Linked DNA regions of Drosophila melanogaster. The protein of the gene in region 4 interacts with the protein of the main gene of each other region in a pairwise test. Each region holds a gene or a part of one and is shown on either strand. Other genes may lie near its edges.

Evidence for each region.
Region 1: the proteins of CAP (region 4) and CG44251 interact in a two-hybrid assay, tested with the Drosophila melanogaster proteins (one large-scale study listed by BioGRID).
Region 2: the proteins of CAP (region 4) and CG10680 interact in a two-hybrid assay, tested with the Drosophila melanogaster proteins (one large-scale study listed by BioGRID).
Region 3: the proteins of CAP (region 4) and twz interact in a two-hybrid assay, tested with the Drosophila melanogaster proteins (one large-scale study listed by BioGRID).

What each region holds. Positions count from the first base shown.
Region 1 is NT_033778.4:12,947,801-12,954,283, forward strand, and holds CG44251 (uncharacterized protein), read right to left. Parts: upstream 4,494-6,483; 5' UTR 4,377-4,493; coding exon 4,373-4,376; intron 4,079-4,372; coding exon of another isoform or gene 4,046-4,078; intron 3,550-4,045; coding exon of another isoform or gene 2,693-3,549; exon of another isoform or gene 2,604-2,692; intron 2,410-2,603; exon of another isoform or gene 2,353-2,409; intron 2,287-2,352; coding exon 854-2,286; 3' UTR 548-853; downstream 1-547. Other genes in the region: CG44250 (uncharacterized protein), read right to left, coding at 2,693-3,549, 4,046-4,078, 4,373-4,376; CG13321 (uncharacterized protein), read left to right, coding at 5,857-5,863, 6,158-6,483.
Region 2 is NT_033779.5:19,962,568-19,966,225, forward strand, and holds CG10680 (uncharacterized protein), read left to right. Parts: upstream 1-1,568; 5' UTR 1,569-1,663; coding exon 1,664-1,714; exon of another isoform or gene 1,715-1,771; coding exon 1,772-1,798; intron 1,799-1,858; coding exon 1,859-2,014; intron 2,015-2,076; coding exon 2,077-2,208; intron 2,209-2,272; coding exon 2,273-2,443; intron 2,444-2,495; coding exon 2,496-2,714; 3' UTR 2,715-3,135; downstream 3,136-3,658. Other genes in the region: CG16772 (uncharacterized protein), read left to right, coding at 158-187, 259-1,164; OS9 (Olfactory-specific 9), read right to left, coding at 3,251-3,658.
Region 3 is NT_033778.4:21,573,034-21,577,963, reverse strand, and holds the start of twz (tiwaz), read left to right. Parts: upstream 1-1,928; 5' UTR 1,929-1,982; intron 1,983-4,930. UniProt on the Drosophila melanogaster protein: Functions with the transcription factor TfAP-2 to regulate octopamine neuronal signaling pathways that control behaviors such as male aggression, male mating, and the initiation of feeding.
Region 4 is NT_033778.4:10,276,945-10,281,757, forward strand, and holds the start of CAP (CAP), read left to right. Parts: upstream 1-1,791; 5' UTR 1,792-2,396; coding exon 2,397-4,813.

The DNA.
Region 1 (6,483 bases), 2.7 Mb from region 4:
AGTTTTTCTGACGGTGTATTTCCAGAGTGCGCATTATGACGCATTCGCTCATATTTACTCTTACCTGTTTCGCCTTTCTCTTTCTTCTCTTTCATCTTGTGCGCCGAGTTGACGTCGAAAAACCAGAATCGTTTAAGAAATCTTGTGTTGGCCAATAACGGATAGTTGTGGGAAATGCCAGATTTGTCTAATCGTTAAAACCCGTGTGGGTTCAAGGAGGTTTTCAAGCATATGGGGTTCTTTGCTAAGCTGGGAATACAGCGTTTTTAATTCCGCACATTAAGCCAAGTTTACTATTCTACGTGATACAATATTATTTTGACCTTAAACTCTCGTGCCCGCAAATCGTTTACTTACCATCTTCTAATTGTAATTTCTATGTTAAGGCGGAAGAACTTTGTTCTTTACGATTTTGTTCAAGCGTTTATGGAAATGTTAAAGAGTCTTTGTTTGTCATAGTATAATTACTAACTTATTTTACACGTGGTAGAACCGACGTAATAAGAAACCCAAACCATAACAAATGATTAAATCCAAAGGCGTCATTAAATAAATAAAACATTTATTACACAACGAACTTTAAAAGTGTGTCAATATAATTAGTGCATAAGTATCTTAACTAGTAAATAAACATGTCGGTTAAATATAATGTGTGTAGAGGTAGTTTCACATTTTGCATTTGGCTTAGATGCATTTAATATTGAGTGCGTATATAAATATAGGTAATTAATAATTAAAATGTAGTTTTTCACAATATACAAAGATATGCCTGGAATAATTTATAGGAACAAAAAATTTGTTTATGGGTTTTCATGGCCTAGCTGCTCTCGGATTTTCCAGATTAAATATGTCTTCAGTAAACCAGGCGGATGGCCTGCTGTCCGTGGTAAATATCGCTCCTAACAAGAACTTCATAGTTGCTCAGACGGATCTCTTGGCCACCGAATGGGATCTGGAGGCATCGGTTGTAGGTCTCAATTACACCGGGTGTCAAGCTGCCGCAGTAGTGACCCCGTCCAATGTAGAGTGGTGCTCCGCCAGGTGTCGTTCCGGCCACAACTGCTCCAGGTGGAACGTTTCCGCCGTAGGATGGCACCCAGTGGTATTTGCCCTTGCCCACCAGCATTTGGTACGATGGCTCAATGATTTCACGACCCCCGTGGGCTATGTAGCCACATCCCTGGCTGGGAATGGCCTTGCCAGGAACATGGACACCACGGTAGTAGGCCCGGCAAACCAGCAATTGCTCCATGTTGCTGTCATGACCTCCAATCACGGCATCGGGAGAGTAATAATAGCCCGGTTCGGCTGATACCCAAACGTCATAGTTGTTGCCATAGCCGTAGGCGTCATATGCCGAAGGAGCAGCACACTCGGCCGGAGTGTAGGACGAGCATCCCGCCTCGTAGGGATTATAGGTGGAAGCGGGTGTAAACGATGGTGCCACGGGAACGGATACTGCGGTCACCTCTGCGGGAACAAATGATGGCGGTGGCGCCACCTCAGCTGGAGTGAACGATGGAGGAGGAGGTGGCATGACCAACACACCACCTGCAGGCGGTGGTGGTGGTGGTGGTCGTGGCATGACCAGCACTCCTCCCGCCGGCGGTGGTGGGGTTGGACTCGGCATCACCATCACACCTCCAACGGGTGGCATGGGATCCGGAGTGGGTGTGTAGGCCGGAGGCCTGTCAGGAAATGGCATCGCAGCCAAATCCGGATATGGATATGGTTTGGCCGGCAGTGGCGGCGCCATTGCCGGTGGAGAAGGTGGTGGCGGCGGCGATAGTGGACACTTTTCCGGCTCCTCTAGTGGAGGAGGTGGTGGCGGCAGCTGCCAGCCAGGAACCACTCTGCGCTCCTCCACCAAAATCTCATAGGAATCCAGACGACGTTCGGCACCGCGAAAAGCGATGAACAAAGCTCGATGGACAGAGGAGATTTTGCCGATAATCAGATGACCCTCATAATGACCACGACCAATGTAAACCGGCTGATCCAGCGATGTGCGTCCACAGAGTACAGCATTCTCCGGAATCACATGATCGTAGCACTTGATCCACACCAGATTCTGACCGCACAGCACCTCGAAGATGTCCTTGGGCAGTGCCTCTCCTCGCTGCGAAATGAATCCCAGTTGCTTGCTCGGCACCACCTTGCAGACCAACATATCGCCCTCGTGCTCCGCCCTGCCCACGTATATCATGGCGCCGTCCTCATCGTTGCCGCCCACCACTGCCTCCTCGGGAAGGGAGGAGTAGGCCGAGGATTGAACCCACTTGTAGGCTGAAAGAAAGATGCATTTTGTTATTTGCTTATTCAGAAGTGATTAGTTTATCATAAAGGACTAACCAATAATATGCTATTTCATCTATAGACATGCAAAAAAATGATGTAGTAATTTTAAATTTCTTTAAAAGTAAATAATGTGGAAGAAAGGTAGAATATAAGGAAATGACCTTCATAGCAAGCCACTATCGTAGCTCATAAATTTTGTAAAACCTGTCTAATCCGACAGTCCATTTTGGCCATATCAGTATAATACATTTGCAGGGATAAGTATTTTAAAAATAGAAGGAACACAAAATGCCCACAGATTTCTTCCGGTATTAACAATCAGTTTATTTGGCTGCGATAACAGTTTGATCTAGACTAAATGCATATGGTATCTGTAGTGTTCCGTTCCTTTAGCTTATTGTCTGCAGAGAATCTCGTACGAGTTGATGCGAATCTCCCGACCTCCGTACGGAATATAGAGGCAACGCTGGCTGGCCGAGATCAGACCCGGTGTCAAACTGCCCTGGTAGTGTCCTCGCCCATAGTACAGCAGCTCTCCATTGCGAGCACGACCCGTGGTTACGGCGTTTGGTGGAATGCTGTGGCCGCAATTCATCCATACATATCCGTAGCCAGTGAGCACCTCGTAGCTGGGCTTCTGGAATTCGTATCCGCCGAAGCAAACGTAGGCGGTTCCCTTGCTCGGCACCACCTTGGCAGGCAGCATTTCACCCTCGTGCATTGCCCTTCCGGCGTAAATGGGAGTACGGTCGGAGTCGTGTCCGGCGATCACTGCGCCCGGAGGAGTGTAACTGGGCGAGGCCGGTACCCAGACGTCGTGCTGCTGCTTGATGAGCACCTCGTAGGTGTTGATGCGCACCTCCTGGCCGCCAAATGGAATGTATAGGCAGCCGTGCGATGGATGAACTTTGCCCACAGTCAAGCTTCCGGCATGATGTCCGCGTCCCACATAGAGCGGCTCGCCCGTTCGCGTCGTTCCGCTCCTCACCGCATTCGGTGGCACTCCACCGCTGGAACTGGGCACCCAGGCAAATCCCTGACCCACCAGCACCTCGTAGTGCGTCTTCGTGTGCTCCGCACCACCGTAGGCCACATAGGCGCATCCCTTGCTCGGTACGACCTTGGCGGGAAGATTCTCGCCTTCGTGAAAGGATCGACCCACATAGATGGGCGTGCGGTCCGAGTCATGGCCACCGATAACCGCGTATGGGGGCAGGGGGCTGTATGGAGACGAGTGCACCCAGGTGTTGTCTGCAAGGAGAAAGGCAGTAGGGCGATAAGTTTGATACCACGCGATAAGATAACCTATCTGTACACAGAGCGAAAACCGGAGAGTAAGTTTCGTGTCCTTTCCATTGGAAATATCTTAAAACTCTACTTGATTGATTTAAATCACTGTTATATTAATATTGTCTTGATAGATATTATATATTGTTATTAAAAAAAAAAAGATTAAGATTTACTAACTTCGTACTTTTTCAAAAGGTAAACATTTATCATCCCGAAGCTGCATTATTAAATGGATACGGTTTTGATTAAAAATTAAGTACAATGTACAATATAATGATTCACTCTATACTCATACTCTCATAGCTTTTTCTCCGTGTACATATTTGGCTTGCTGTACGGTTTTGCGGGTTTGGGTGGTTTTGGGTGGCCTAGGTGGTCTGGGGGCGGGGATCAAATGGGATTTGGGGTTTCACAGAGGCGTAGGGGTTTCACCCTGGGCTCACTGCACTCGTCCTACCAACGGTCACAACTCCTCCTGGCTGCACGGCGCCTGGAAAGAGCAAAGAAAGGCGGAGAACTGTAGAAGTCACTCAATGCTCTTTGCTTTTCTTCCGGCTAATGTGCACAGAGAAAAAAATCGCAATACCAACAGAATTGGTCAGCACTTGCGGATTTCTTCGCCCGTAATTGGGAAATTGAATTTAATTAAGCTAATATGCAACAATATATTTTTTGATTTTGATGATCTTGAAGGTAAATTACACTTATTTCATTAGACTTTGGCATTGCAAAATCATTTTTTTTTTTTTGGTTGCACTTATCAGAGGTTACTCATTCTACTTACCCATTGTGCGTTAATTGTTGATAAGTTATTCCTATGAAAAATAGTTTCTTTTATTCACTTGCGTTCTTCTGACTCCAAAATGCGTCTGAACTGACCAAAGTTTGTCTTTTCACTAAACTATTGGTTTGCAAAAGCCTGACGTTTAAAAACCGAACCAGAGCGATTCGTCACTGCTTCTTATCGGCGAGCTTTTATCTTTCAATTCGCATTTGTACATATATAAAAAAAGAAGTGCAGTTGATATTGGGACCTTTGCTATCACTAATTTTAACTTCCAGTCTCGAAAGCTCCATTTCCAGAAAAGCATTCCATTTATCGATCGAAAATGAATCATTGGCCCAAACAGGCGGTACTTTTGGGAGTAAAAGAAAAAAACAAGTAAATCGAAGCATGTGGACATTGTTTTAAATGTTATTGTTGTGCCCTCTCAACAGGTGGAACCCCAATTAAATAGACCCATAAACAATATGACGCCTGCCAGAAGCGCCCATGCTCAAAAAATCCCCCCCGTTGAAGGGGCGATAAGCATGTCGAAAATTTGTACTTTTAATAGAAAAAGGATCATTCATTTTGAATTATTTTTTACCTACTGAAATATTAAAAATAATCTTTAAACCTTTAGTGTAATGTATGTGCTTATTTTATCTCTTTTAATTAATAATTTCTTTGTAATAACAAACAAACTGATTTCAAAGGACATATGTATGTATGCATTTATGTAAGGCATAAAAGGCATTAAAAAGTATAAATATACATATGTGACTCAGCGGTAACGATATCAATAACTTTATATCGCAATTGACTCATCTTTAGACCAAACAAGTGTCTGTAACTTTACAACAGTTACAGTTAGTTTTCCAAAGGTTTCTCAATTATTAGGTTTATGATTTGAATAATCCACAAGAAGGTTAGGTAACTGTTTACATGTTGGTTCTTATTTTTGTTCTAGAAAAGCATTCCTGAACTTATAGTTGATCCATGGACAGCCACCCTCATACATATAATCTTTTACGAACTTATTGATGAAGTTTATTTTTGACTACCGGCGATAAGATTCGTAGCCAACTGCTTATAGATAAAACCCGCAAAAACAAAAACAAATATTCATGCACAAGATCGATTGAGTAATTTTGGTTGCGCTTCCTGTTTAACCCAGAATTTAAATTGTTTTTACCAAACAAAATCATCCAATATACATTCTGACACACCTGTCAGTTGGTCGCAATGACGAACACCCTCTACGACATGAGGATACCTTTGTGGAACACACACAATCGAACGGTTCAGAGCAGTGTGACTAAGATATCTTATCACTGCCGGCTAACTTGCCGAACTGATAAGCGGAAACAACAGCTTTTAAGGCGCAACCGATGTGCGGGTAGCGACCAGTCGTTGAAGTCAGCCCAAACATAGCGGAGCCAGCGAGTATATAACATCACGTTCCAGACCTAAATCAACATACAAAAAAAGCACACAAATACAACATGGGAGGTGAGAACTGAAGTGCAAAGTTAGTGACTAAGATAATTCTGGCGAAAACGAAAGCATAGTGCCGCAATTAGTCGTGACAAGTGGGCAAGTGTCATCGATACTCCGCGCACCTGACAGCCGAAATCCCTTGGAGCTTTGGTAGCTTTCCATAGATCCAGCGATTCTACACCCTGACAAATAAAAGACAAAAAACCTCTACTGTGGCTGATTAATGGTGTACAGTTGGCCCTCGTTGGCCCAAGTTAACTTATCGCCTCTGACCTTGCTCTATATATATATTTTATTCGCCCTCAGACTACACCTGGATTAGCACCAACGTTTACGGATCCCTGCCCCCAGGAGCCATCCTAGCTGGCCACGACTCCGACCAGGATCCCATCTTTGTGGGCCGTGCCTACCACAATGGAGAGATGCTGCCAGCGAAGGTGGTGCCCGGCAAGCAGCAGGCCTATGTGCCATGGGGCGGTCAGGAGATCAGCAAGCATGACTTCGAGGTCCTTGTCGGTGATCACTTCTCCTGGATCCCGTCCAGTGGTGGATCTGTCCCGCCCCATGCCATCCAAGTGGGCCAGACTGGCGAGGGTGAGCCCCTGTACGTGGGCCGTGGTTACTTCCAGGGC
Region 2 (3,658 bases), on a different chromosome or scaffold from region 4:
GAGAGATAGAGAGCTGATTGCTCTGGGGCTGTCTGTAATTGTTGGCTTACCGATTTCCATAATGGTGGGCGATTCTGGAGCTATATAAGTCAGCTATGGCCGGCAGAGAACAATCAGTTTTCGCTTGGCCCTTGCTAGTTGAACTCAGTCGGTTGGGATGTTCATCAAGTTGCTTCTAATTAGCCAGGTTGGTGCCAGATCTTGGCCAGGACAAAATGGCTCGAACTATGATTAACTTAACATACATTTTAATTCTAGCTGCTGGCGCTGAGTTACGCTCAGTTGTCGCTCGACGAGGCTAAAAAGCAAATCGATGCCTCGCTTTACAGCGAAGAGGAGACTACCGATGATACGCATCTGCCGGAGCCCCACCTGCCCCCCCAATATCAGCCTCATCATCCCCACAAGAAGGTGACCACCACCACTCCCGAGCCGGAAACCACAACTCCAAAGCCAGAAACCACCACGAAGCCCGCAATAGAGCAGGAGGGTGAGGCCACCGCTGCTCCCGATGACGGACTGGGTCAACTGGATGATGGCTTGCAACAAAACAATGATGGATCTGCGCTTCCAGAGTCCACCACTCCGGAACCGGAAACCACGACCCCTACGACGACCACCACCACAACGCCAAAGCCCCATAAGCATGAGCCCCACTTTCATCCCCATTCTTATCCGCATCCTCACCCCTATCCCTACCCCATTCAGTATCCCTACCCCCATCCAGGAGTGATATTCTCTGCCGCGGGACCTAAGCTTACTCCTCCATCGACCACACCGCCCACTGCCAAAGATGCGGACAAGGAATCGCCGGAGCTGTCTGGATATCCCTCCTATCCGACCTTCAGATCACCGTACTCGCCCTACCAACCCCAGGTGTTCCCTCAGCCTCGTAACTGGCCCAGCTTCCCAGGATACGGACCTCCCAGTCCCGGTTTCGGATACCCCCACAACCACAATCACGATCACGAAGAAGACTCCGGCGAAGATAAGCCCAAGGACAAGTCTGGTGAAAAGGATAAGGACGAGGATGTGGCTCTGAAGCCACCAGGATTTAGCTACCCGCAGGTCTATTTGATTCCCCGAAGACCAGTGATCTCTGTGCCCAGCTTTCCGCGTCCAGGAGGCGGATATGGTTCGCCCTACGGCTACGGACTCTACTAACACTCTCCGATAAATACTGTGAAAAATCTCCGAGTCCAGATAGTCAATAATATCTTAGTTTTATTTCAATCTTGAAATGTACTTCCTAACACAATAAACAACTTTTAGATTATATTTTCATGAGTTTTTAATATTTGCATATAATATTTAATGCTTTCGATCGTGTAAATCTGAGTACAAGGTTCTTCACTGAATGTGGGACTGCTTGGAGTTTTCTTTCGGTGCATTAAGAACTAGTAAGTAAGTTAAAGGCTCCTAGATTCGGGAAAATGATAATTGATGATTTGCGCATATGAGATTGAGTTATGGGCTTCTGATTTCCCTATCGTGTAATCCCCAGGCTGATAACCCCGGGCCCCGACGCTCTCACCTTGGTGATTTCCAGTCGAACGGGTTGGGATCGTGGTTGCATTTAATTGCAGCGCATTCCACCCAGTCAACTCATAGTTCTGTCGATCGTCGGAAGTTCGAGACGTGAGTGTCAGTCGAGATCTGCGAGATGTTGCCGCTCCAATTCGTTTTGCTGGGCTGTCTGTTCATCGCTCAGGGGGTAACTATTCATCGGTTTGTTCCACAATTTAGGCTTCAATGAGTTCTATATTTTCAGATATGCCACACTCTGCCGGATCCCAAGGTAAGTTTGCTAGCAAACAATTTAGATAGTATCTTCTTTGCAATATTCCATAATCCACAGCTAAGGGTGCCTCGTGAAACTATCAACATTCCCACGCATCTCTTCAAGCCAGTGAGTCCGAAATCGAGCAACAAACCTATTTCTAATAGATCATCCTTAAATGGCGGAAACAGCTCTGCCCTGGCCGAAGCAAATAACGATGTCGAGTTTCTAGAGGTGAGTCTCATCCAATACACTTAATATAAATGGAAATAAATATATATTTATTATCCTTGAAGAGATCTAGCGGTGAAGTGGAGGAGGTGACCGACACCTACGAAGAGGAGGACGTTCCACTCCGACCTATCCCCTTCCAACCTCGACCGTTTTATCCTCAGATCCCTCCCCGATCCAACGGTTTCCCCATTCGTGTAAGTGTTTTTATAAGTAGTTACACATAGTATTACAATCCGATTGACGATTGAACTATTTCAGCAACCCAACTATGACAATGCATTCCAAACCGATTACAATGTGGGTCCCAGAGGCAGCGGCTTCGACAACAGACCTTTTCCCAGTTCCCCGGATTTCCGTGGCAGAGGCATTCGACCAATTCCTGACTCCCCATTCCGCAATCAAAACTTAGGAACCTTTGTATCTCGACCGGTAATCTTGTGCAATCGTTTTCCTAACTAAAAAACTAATACACCTTCTCCAGGTACCTATGCCATCCAGTGGTTCCATTATCCCCCTTATCGCCGGTGGTTCCAGTATTCCGACTGGTAGAAGTGGTCCCCTTGGTTCCGGGGGCTCTTCTAACAACTTTTACCGGAGCGAATCCTATAGCTACACATCGGATGGAAGAGGACCTCCCCAAATCGAGCGGGATGTGTTCGACTCGCGGGATGGATTTGGATCATCTTATCGCAACTTTTAACACCTTTCCTAAGAGAAGCTGATGAATGAAAGTTCCGAGTTCTCAAAAACAACTAGTTAAGGCTGCTAGAGATTATACTGACTTGTCTGTGTGTAATGTAAAGATTCTTGGCATTACAAATAATCAGTTATTTTACTTTCCGCACGGTTTATTTATCAGACTAAATAACAATTGTATTGAATAGAAAGTCAGTAAAACTTTCAAAGCTATTGAAACCTGACAGCTTACAAATCTAAAAAAGGTATATTAAGGTATTCAATACCTTTGTAAAATGAATTCCACATTTCTTACGTCATACCTGCACTAAGTAGTAAACACTTACTAGCGTATTTATTATATGCTCATTGATTGTTAAATCAGCTGCAATATGTAATCAAATTTTAGCTTCCGGCGAGCGTGCTAATACAAAACATGAACTCTGGACTACTGGTTTTGATATTTGCAAGGCAGTTTCTGGAAATAATATATACGTTCGGACTATGTATCTGTAGTTATTTGGTTTAAACTTAAATGTACTTGAAACATGATATGTTTATTCAAATGAAATCAGAGTTGGTTAACTTGTCCAGCTTCTCATAGACATCCTTTTCGTTCTTAAAGTCATTAAACTGCTTGACCATCGCCGCGTTCCTGGCCAACCGACTGTCGGACCATGTGCTCATGTATTTCTCCACCTTCTGCTCTACGATTTTCAGAGTAGTTTCCAAGTTTCTTTCCAGGATCTGCTCCAGGTCCTCAACTCCGTGCTGTATGAATAGCTGAACGACAACCTCGTCAGCTTCCGATTCGAATTCTTTGCTGCCTGCAATCGAAATGATGCTTTCCAGTTCCTCAAGAGCATCCTCCAGTCTGTTCAGCTCGAATGAATCATCGAAGTCCAGGGTGTCCAAGGCCGCGACGAAGTCCTTAAGCTCCCTGAGAATGTGTCCCTTGGAGTTTGGTGG
Region 3 (4,930 bases), about 11 Mb from region 4:
CACATGCAACCGCTTACGCACACTTGCACACTCACACACACACGCACACGAATGGCGGCGGAAGTAAGGACAACAACAACAGCAGAAGGCCAGGATGTGGCCGCCTATTAAGTGATTTTAACACTTTGCGCATGAAAATTGCAAAAAGGCAACGGCGCGGCGTTGATAATTATCCCTTAATTGCTTAATGAGCGGCACTTGAGCAGCGCCGTCGACAGAAGCGACGTAAGTTTAATTAATGCCAATTTAATTACCACGCCACACACACACACGCACACACACATGAAAGTGGACGCATTTATGGGCTACTACTTACCGTTGTGTGGCACTTAAAAGCCGCACTTACCGCATAGAATTCTCTCACACTTTGTAAGTGAATTAAAGGCTTACTTGTTGTATATCTTAATCAATCGGATATGTTAAAAATATACAAGTTTTTCATAGCTAATTAGTATTATACAAATATTTAAAGTCTTGAATGCTAGGTATTCATGCAAATTGCTTTTCTTTCTACCATTTGAAATGCAATTTTCCAAAAATTCAAATATCTCGAAAATCACCATTAATAAACACTAATTGCTCCCACATATCTTGTTTATCTAAGTGAGCACTGGTTTATAGTTTCGGCCAGAGCTTCGGCCGACTTGTTTCTGGCCTCGAAGTTGGCCGAATGTCTCTATTAGCCAGGGCCATAAGTTATTTGGTTGTTTGGCTTGATTAATGTTCACCTGCCTGTGTGTTCCGAGGAAAACTTAAATCGAACGATGGACTCGGAAGGGGGACTTACTATTCGTAGCAGCCATTCGGACCTCGCTTTGTAGATTGTCAGTGGCAGCTTAGTTTTCGCTCAACCCTTTTCCATTGCCTGCCGGCCGGGGGCAATCTCTTCTTCCAGTGATCTAATCTTGTTATTGCCCTGACCGCCGTCTCCGGTTCCAGGCCGGCATACCCATAAAGACATACACATATAAACATGGACGAGAGTGATTTAGCTGATGTGCCAATTCAATTATTTCTACCTACATAGGATTTTTCCACATGGCACCGGCAAAACATATAAACACCGATAAATGCCATACATACAACAAGCCATGTGGCATATAAAATAGTGAATGTAATTTTATTCACATGTCTGGCCGCAGGCCAATCCGCTTTGCCCGCCGGCACCAAATTGCACAGCAACAGCAGCAACATCAGCCACCCCGGAACCACACGACGCACCTCTCCGCATCTCGGGTGTCGGTCTTTCTTCGGTGTATATATAAATATGTATATATATATATATATATATATGCCACATTATATGCTGGGTACAGGAAGGGGAAAGGGGAGCGGAGCGGACCAGAGAGCTGAAATCCATCATTGGCGCATGGCCCCGGGTCACATTTGGGTTGAAATATTATAATTACAAGCGAACGCCCGCGGGCAAGGCGAGGAGGAAGGTGAACCGAAGCTGGAGCTCCGGCGTCGAACATTGGCATCGCATCGCGAGCTTAGCTTGGCTAACAACCACACTGGAACAAAAGTCGGCTGCTTAGATAGGAAATTAAAGTATTTCACTGAGAGCAAATTTGAAAGAGTTGAGACCAACTGCTGTCCAAGATGGACTGCCAGTTACAAACAGACGCTTTTAGATAGTTTTTTCTTTCAGTGCATGGAAGGGGGTTGGAGGGAACGGGCCAGTTGGACGGGCGATCGAAGTCGCCTGCTGCGGATATGGATACTTAGTTGTGGTGGTTGTGTTTACGTTGCGGCTGATAACATCCCGTTTTGCTGCTGCCGCCGTCGCTGCTGCGCCAGATGTTGCTGCTGCTGCTGCTGCTGCTGCTGCGGCTGGCGTCGTGCCCCATGTTGCATGCAACACGCTCGACGGCACTCGGCACTTAGACCCCAACGAGCCCCCCCAAAACAGTCTTTTCTCAACGGTGGTTCAGTGTGTTTGTGCCGATGGTGTTTGCTTTTGCCTTCGACAACGGCAGCAGGTGAATAACAGTGTCTCTGGCTATTGCCACATGCTTTTTTGCGTTTGTTTTCGCCCAGCCTGGTAACTTGTTGCACGGCACGTGTTTGGACAACTGGCCGGGTGTCCACATTAGTGGGCGGGGCAGCTGCAGCGCAGGATAACAGAAAACAGAGATGAGTGGCATATAATTTAAGAACAACACCGAGTGCCGGTGCCGTTTGCCTATAATTACCCACAACCAGCTACCAACTAACTGGCCAAAGAATCACAGTTTTTTTTTTGTCCCCCAAAATTCATCTACATACATACCAATGCACAAAAATACACATACATACATATGTACAAAGTCCGGCAGCAGGTGACAAGCAGTGTGAAAAAGCTGGGCGCTGGTACCCTCATTATATGCAAAACGCTGCGTCAGGGCCGCCAGCCACTCAAACTTAACTTATTTTTAACTTGCATATTTTTGCCCATTCTACGGCATTACCTCTGCCACTGCCTCAGCCAGTGCCTCTGCCTCTGAATGTCCTTAGGCCATCTTAGTTGCATGTTCGAGCAATCCTTTCCGTTCCGTTCGCTCGTTCCACCCCAAGAAGCTGGAAATAAAGAACTGGTCCTCTCCCATTCATAACTCGCGGCTATATCTTCTTTTGCGTTATATTTCCCTCATTCTGCTTGTCTCTGGGTATCAACTGTCAGTTTTCGAGCTAAAAACGCCGCCGGCTTAGTTTGTAAATCATTAAAATTATGCACACACACACACACATGCCTCACATCCGCACACACTTATTATGTACAATATGCTAGACTGTGTGTGTGTGTGTGTGTTGGGTTTGGTTGGAGAAGTTGGCCAAACTGCATAGGAATCATTATGCAGTTAATGACAAATGTCACGCATTGCTAATGACAAAAGGATGTCGGCAATCGACTCCAGAAGAGGCCCCTTTCCGTTCCACTTTTGCCCCCTCAATTGAAAGGCACTCTCATTTGCGAGAGTCCAGCTTTCACCGACCCCAAGAAATTGGTAAACAAACTAATAAACATAAAGCAACAAATACAATTCAGCACAATTTACCAAATACGTTGCATGAATAAATATTAATCCTGTGTTAAACAACCATATTTTATTTAGTCACTCCATCATATATATTTATTTTTCCTTTTGGGCAGATTATAGTTTGTTTAATGCATTTTATACCCACCTTTTTGTATGGGCTTTAAGGCACTTAAGTATTGCATTAGAATTAAATGGTGCATTAAAAGTATTTTGGGTCAAACTGAAACAATTGAAATAATGTCAACTGCATTATGGCATTTCGATCGAAACATATTTTTAAATCAAAGCCAAATCCTTTAGAATATAACAAATTCCCAAAAACGTAAGCTTAGCATAAATGGCATAATATGAAGGACCAAAAGGATATTCAGTGGTTATTCTTCTATTGATAATTTAATCAATTTAAAGGACAGCGAGTGATAAAAAGGACACAGCTTTAAAAGCTAAACAAACACCTCATTTTGGCACGCATTGCCTGTAAAATGATTACCATTCAAATGTTAATGTAAATGTTGTGCCACATATGGATGAATTGATGGGTGAATGGGTGGATGGGTGGATATTTTGATAGGTGGATGGGTGGATGGGTGGACGGATGGATGCCCGAATTGCTGTGATGGTTGATATGTGGTCGCGCTTGCTGCCACTGCCGCTGCAGTTCGGTCGTGCGTTAAAAATTTAACACGAATTTCAGGCTGCGGCGGCAAAAATGGCATCATTAAGTAAAAGCCCCGCGGCCAGACATTGTGAATTTTATGAGCCTTTTCATATATATGCTTGTGTATATATGGGTATGCTATATATGTTTTTGTTGCTTCCTCGCTGGGTATCGTTAATAATAAAAAATATATGTTCGCTTGTATGTGTGCGCACCCATCCACACATATACATATATACATACTCGTATATTTTAAAGCCCATCATACACATTTGCCATTTGCCCAGCCTTGTGATGATGAGTGTGTGCTCACATAAATAATAGTAATAATAAAAAATCACAATAATGATGATGCTGATGCTGATGGTGTTGGCGGTCGCGGGTGGCGTAAAAAAATCTGCGGAAATTCTCAGCATATGCGATGGCATTTAAATGTTTGTGTTTTCCCATTCAGCATTCAGTATGATATTGATTGACAAGCAAATGCACAAGCGTTGAATAAATATGCAGGCGAGTGGGCGGTATGCCCGCGGGAGGGCGTGGCGAGCGGGCTACTTTAAAAAGCCATCAACAAATAATTACAAACGAGCGCGTAGGAAGTGTATAAATGTCGACGCTGATTTCTGAGCTGATCCGCGGATTCTCTTTTACTACAATATATATCTTTCTATATATATCTATATATATGTATATACATATGTACTTGATGTATGTGACTCCTTGCACCCATATACACCTACCCCCCACTTCGCCCGCCCACCCCACTGCACTGCCCCCAAGCGATCCAAACAATAAAGCATAAAGCGCGCCGCACACATTTTGTCGAATTATTTTGTTGGCAGTCCGCTGGCGGCTAGCTGCAGCAAATTGGCTTGAAATATTGGTATTGCCATATGTATGAGCTTGTGTATGAGTGACTGAATACGTACGACTCTGCCTCTCTCTCTGTGTACGTGTGTATGTGTGTGTGTGCGTGAGCTTGTGATTAAAAAAATATTTAAAATGGCAAAAACGCAAAGCGACGTCAAAATAAAGAAGCCCGCTACCCCATTTTGCCGCTTGAAACAATAAAAGCCCCCCCCCAACAACCCCCCACAGCATTTCCCATTCCATTTGAGTGAGTGAAATGAGCGATAAAATTGCAACAGTTTCCACTCGTCGTACGCATTTGCTGCGATAAAGGATGAAAAATTGAAATGCCACTGCTCACGCGAAACAATTAAAATTTGACATGTTTTATTGAACACTTTAA
Region 4 (4,813 bases):
TATTGTTTTATCTAAGGGAAGATAAAAACTCTGTAAAGAAATTCCCAAGCGAGAAATGAATCACAGATCTTCTGCCAAGCGCATTTGTCGAATCAAATCTTCATGAAAGGCTTCTTTTGATGACCCCTCTATCCATCTTTAGATATCACAGTTCAATCTTTAGTAATTTCCCAAGAAGTTATCTTGCTAGCTGCATTTGATTCCACAAAAACCACTTTCATTGAAAGCAAAACTTTTCGCACACAACTCACGTTCTTTATCAAAAATGCAAAATTTATCAGCGATAGCCCAGAAAAGATAACTAAAATGTGTGCTGTTCTACAGCAAATTGGGCGAGGCGTAGAAATCAATTTCAAATTTGTTGATATTACGGGGCAAGAAAACTGAAAATAGAAGCCGCTACAATGGATCCACAGATATAGATAGCGGCTACTTGGATGTTCGTCGTACGTCAGTGATTCAGGCAACTTGGTGGGGCCCAAACGAAATCCAAACGGAAACCGAAACCAATTGAGAATACACATTAAGTGAGTGGGTTTCTGAGGAGGGGAAAGCGATCGTTTAGTATTCCCTAATTGGTATACCCGTGTCTGTCACACTGTGCAGAAATTGCATAATGCCCGGGCCAAAACCACCACATCACGTGTCTGGTTCGTCTGGCACCTGACAGACCCGCGAAGATACTTCAGTTCGGATTGGTTCTGGTCGGAGGAAGTTAATGGAGATGATGGGGCTGTGGGCCAGACAGAACAAGAGAAATTGAAAGCCATTAAGTACCTTTAAAAATAAAAGCGGAATACTACTAACCGCATGGCCCACTGGGATGATACATGGGAGAGCTATACATACATATATGCGCGTGGATATATGTTGCTTCAATTATTCAAGAGTACACCGAAAACAGAGACTTGTGACCACAAAAAGCAAAGAAATTACGCACGAAAAATATCTTTAAAATGCCATAAGTTGTATATAGATACACAGCCAGCGCAGACTCATCAGATACACAAGCACACACATCGGCCAGAAGATACATATAAGCAAACTCGAACTGTGGCAAACTATTTCCGTATTGAGTTCTCTTCTTAATGCCCTGCATTGAGCCATTTTGGGTATATTGCACGAAAGTTTTTTAGATCAACCACTTAAAAAATTAAACAATTTAAGTGGTTGGAAAACGGTTTATCTGATTTCATTTGACCTCTAAATTCTTTATTTTCTCTTAATGTCTTACATCTTTCATTCCTGAGCATTTATCAACCGAAATTCAAGACAAAAATGTGTTTGTGACATTTAAAAAAATTTATTTTCGAAAGCATATATTCGTTAGCTTAAATTCCACAAACAAATTATGTACGTGTTCCAAAAACATTTTCTAATATTTATGAATGTGCCGAATATATTTTCGAGCCGTGCGTTTCTTTTCTGCTCATCTCGGATTTTATGAGTTTGTTTGGCTTGTGAAAATTGCATTGACCTAGAAGTCATATTGTTGTTTTTTTTTTCGGTCTCTTTGGTATTTTGATGTCTTTGGAATACCCTGCATTCTGATTCTGATTCTGTTTTGGTTTTGCACATTTCTCTCCCGCTCTCCCGTACGACTTTCTGTTTTCTACGTACATGTATGTATTGTGAACATGAGCATCGTTATGAATTCCCCGATTTTCCTTTTTGTGTGTATATTTTCAAATACTTGCCACTGTGCATCCGAATCGGGCTGTCTGTAAAAATGTGTGTGAGTGGGAGACTGGGGAGCTAGCTCCCGGCTGAGATCGTGGAAAGCCCACGGCCCATTCCTTGTCCGTCGGTCGCCAGCGCCACGAGGAACGGGAAGCGCGATCTTAAAAAATATTTAAAAAACTTTTCACCCCGTGTCCCCGTTGCTCAAATCGAACATACCCCCAAAACGAGAGCGAAAGTTTAGTATTCAAAACGCAATTTAATTTGGCGAAAAAATATCGAGGCAATCGGAGACAAAGGCGCGATCTCGGCGGCGAAAAATAAACCTAAAAACATAACGATTTCGGACGCGTGCCAGGCGGTGGGCGGTGGGCGGGGCGGCGTAGACGCCGGCAGCGGCAGCGACGTCGCTGTTTTATTTTTTTATTTTCTTTTTTTTTTCGATTTTGCCGGCTGTCGTCGCGAGCAGAATGCCGCCGGCTCTCGGTTCTGGTTCTCAGTTCAGTTCTGTTTGAGTTTCTGGCGACGAGTGACACACACAGAGGGAACTAGAAATAAACGACACCGAAAAACGAAACAACACTTAGTTGTACTGTAGATTCTGGCTGATTAAGAAACACGAAACACGAAGTACTCACTTACACACAAAAACACATATATATCTCACACACAAGGAAAACTGCATTAGTTCAGATCGAGCGAAAGTGCCGTAGACGATGCCCAATAACCGCAATCGTAATCGCAATCGCAATCGCAACAAACGCAATCGAAACCAAAATCAAAATCAGAATCCGAGCCAAAACCAAAACGAAAACCATCAGCAGCAGGCAGAAGGGGCGGAGGATCGGGAGGAGCAGCAGGATTTCCAAACTCAGATCGCAGTAGCGCAATCTTCTTCCTTCGTAGATGATAATGGAAATTCTGGCAGCGTTTCAAATGGGCCAACGGAAAACAGCGAAGAGGTGACGAACACTCTTGAGAAAACCGAAAAAAAAGAAGAAATATTCGAGCAACCAGCAACAGTCATCCAAAAAGAAGCAGATTCAGACGCAGAAATGGGTGCCAAAAACTCAAAACATCGCAAGGAAAAGTCCGATAAGCAGGCGTCTAATGGAAAATCTGAAGAGCAGGTGCGTCCACCTCCCACCATTATAAGAAGGCCACCCGGTAGCCCCCGGCAAGCCAAGGTCATAGTTCATCGAATTGTGAGGGAAGAGGACACGGCCAATGGCAAAGCTCAATCTCCAGAGCCACCCAAAGCCGTGGAATCTAAGGAGCAGCACATGGAGGTCGAGGATTCAAAGAAGGAGAAACCTGAAGCTCAGCAGGAGATTGAAACTAAGGAAGAACGGGAAAATGAACCGAGTCCAAAGGAACTTCCTGAATCTAGTCATCTTTCGGAGGACGCACAGCAGAAACATGTCGAAGTTGAAGAGAATCAACAAGTTTATGATGAAGTGGACTACTCAAAGGATGAGACCACTGACAATAATCCACAGCAAGAGCAACACGATTCAAAGGAACCGGAGCAATATGTGTTGCAACTCGAAAAGGCAATGGAATTTGTGGAAAATGCACATCAGCAACACGTTGCTGCCGTGCAAAGTTATCAAAAACAGAGAGACACTGAGCAAAATGCACAGCAGCAGGAGCAAAATGAAGCACAGCACCTACAGGAATCAACTAAAGCGCATCAGCAAAATATTGCAGTTCCACAAATCCTTGTAGATCCGAAGAAGAGAGAAGAGGGCCTCGCACAGCAACTGCATCATGATGTGAAAGAGGAACCCATTTTGAATAACGCCCAACAGCAAAATGATGACACTGCACCGAAATCCCCAAAGGAAGTAACAATAAAAGTTCAGTTTCAAACAGAAGATCCTTATTCCCAGCAGCCTCCTCCACAGAAGCCCACCTCCAAGGTGATTATCCACCAGATACACGTGGAAACCACCGACGAAGAGCAAAATGCCAAGCCCACTTTCGAGGAGGTTAGCAGCACTACCGGTTCTCTGGCCGGAACCCTATCTCCACCACCTCGTTATTTGGTGGAGTCGCCGAAGAACGTGTCAAGTGGCCAGTTTTCGAACTTCTCGCGCAATGTGCAAATCCAGGAAATGGAACTGAACAGCGACTTCAGCTCCGGGGAATTCAATTCCCTGCAGTCGCCGCTGGTATGCGAAGTAGACTCGGAATCAGAGGGATCGGTAGTCTTGGGACCGGAGCGATCGCCGTCGGATCAGCAGGTGCCGTCCAGCAGCCGAGTAGAGCAGCATGAGCAGGTGCGCCAGAAACGTGCCCAGTATCGGAACGCTTTGGAATCGCACTTCATGCCGCAGTTGCTCAATCCCCGCTATCTGGACAGCATCCTGGAGGAGAATGAATGGAGAAACTCCACCGCCTCCTCTGGCGGAAGCGATCAGACGGGGATCCGCACTCCCAAGCTAAACGAGACCTTTCCCAGGAGTCAGTTGGACTTTAGTCGCAGACACAAGCGTAGGGAGGAGGCACCGTCGCCTCTTAAGCTCGAAACCAAGCTGCTGGAGGAGTCAACCGATCTGGAGAGCTGCACCCGACTGCAGAGCGCCCTGTCTCCACAGTCTGAAGATGCGGAGCTAGTTTACCTAAGCTCCTCGGCCTCCAGCAGCGTCTCTGACCTCATGGAACTAGAACTAGAGCAGGCTGCCGCCTTGGCGGAGAGAGCCCTCGTAGACTTGGATACGGATGCCAGTCGGTTGATTGCTCGGCCGGATGATGAGATGAGCAGCACTAGTACCACTACTGCAGACAGGAGCGAGACGGAAGCGGAAACGGAAACGGAGACGGAGAGAGAGGGCGAGCAGAGTCGCGAGAGCACACCTGTTAACGCCAACCCGACGCTCGCCAGTTCGCAGTCTTCGCTGCTGAGCGCCGCAACGCCGACGCCGACGCCGACGCCCACTCCCGCCGATCGAGAACAATTAGCAAAAGATACAAATGTATCTGGTGGATCGACTGTTAGTTTCGGGGCAGCATCGCCGCTAGCGGCCACGCGCGAGGAGTTCGTTCGCAATATGGACAAAGTGCGCGAGTTGATCGAGATGACGCGGCGCGAACAGGAGCAAGGTGAACTACCGCGATCGCCGTCGCCGCC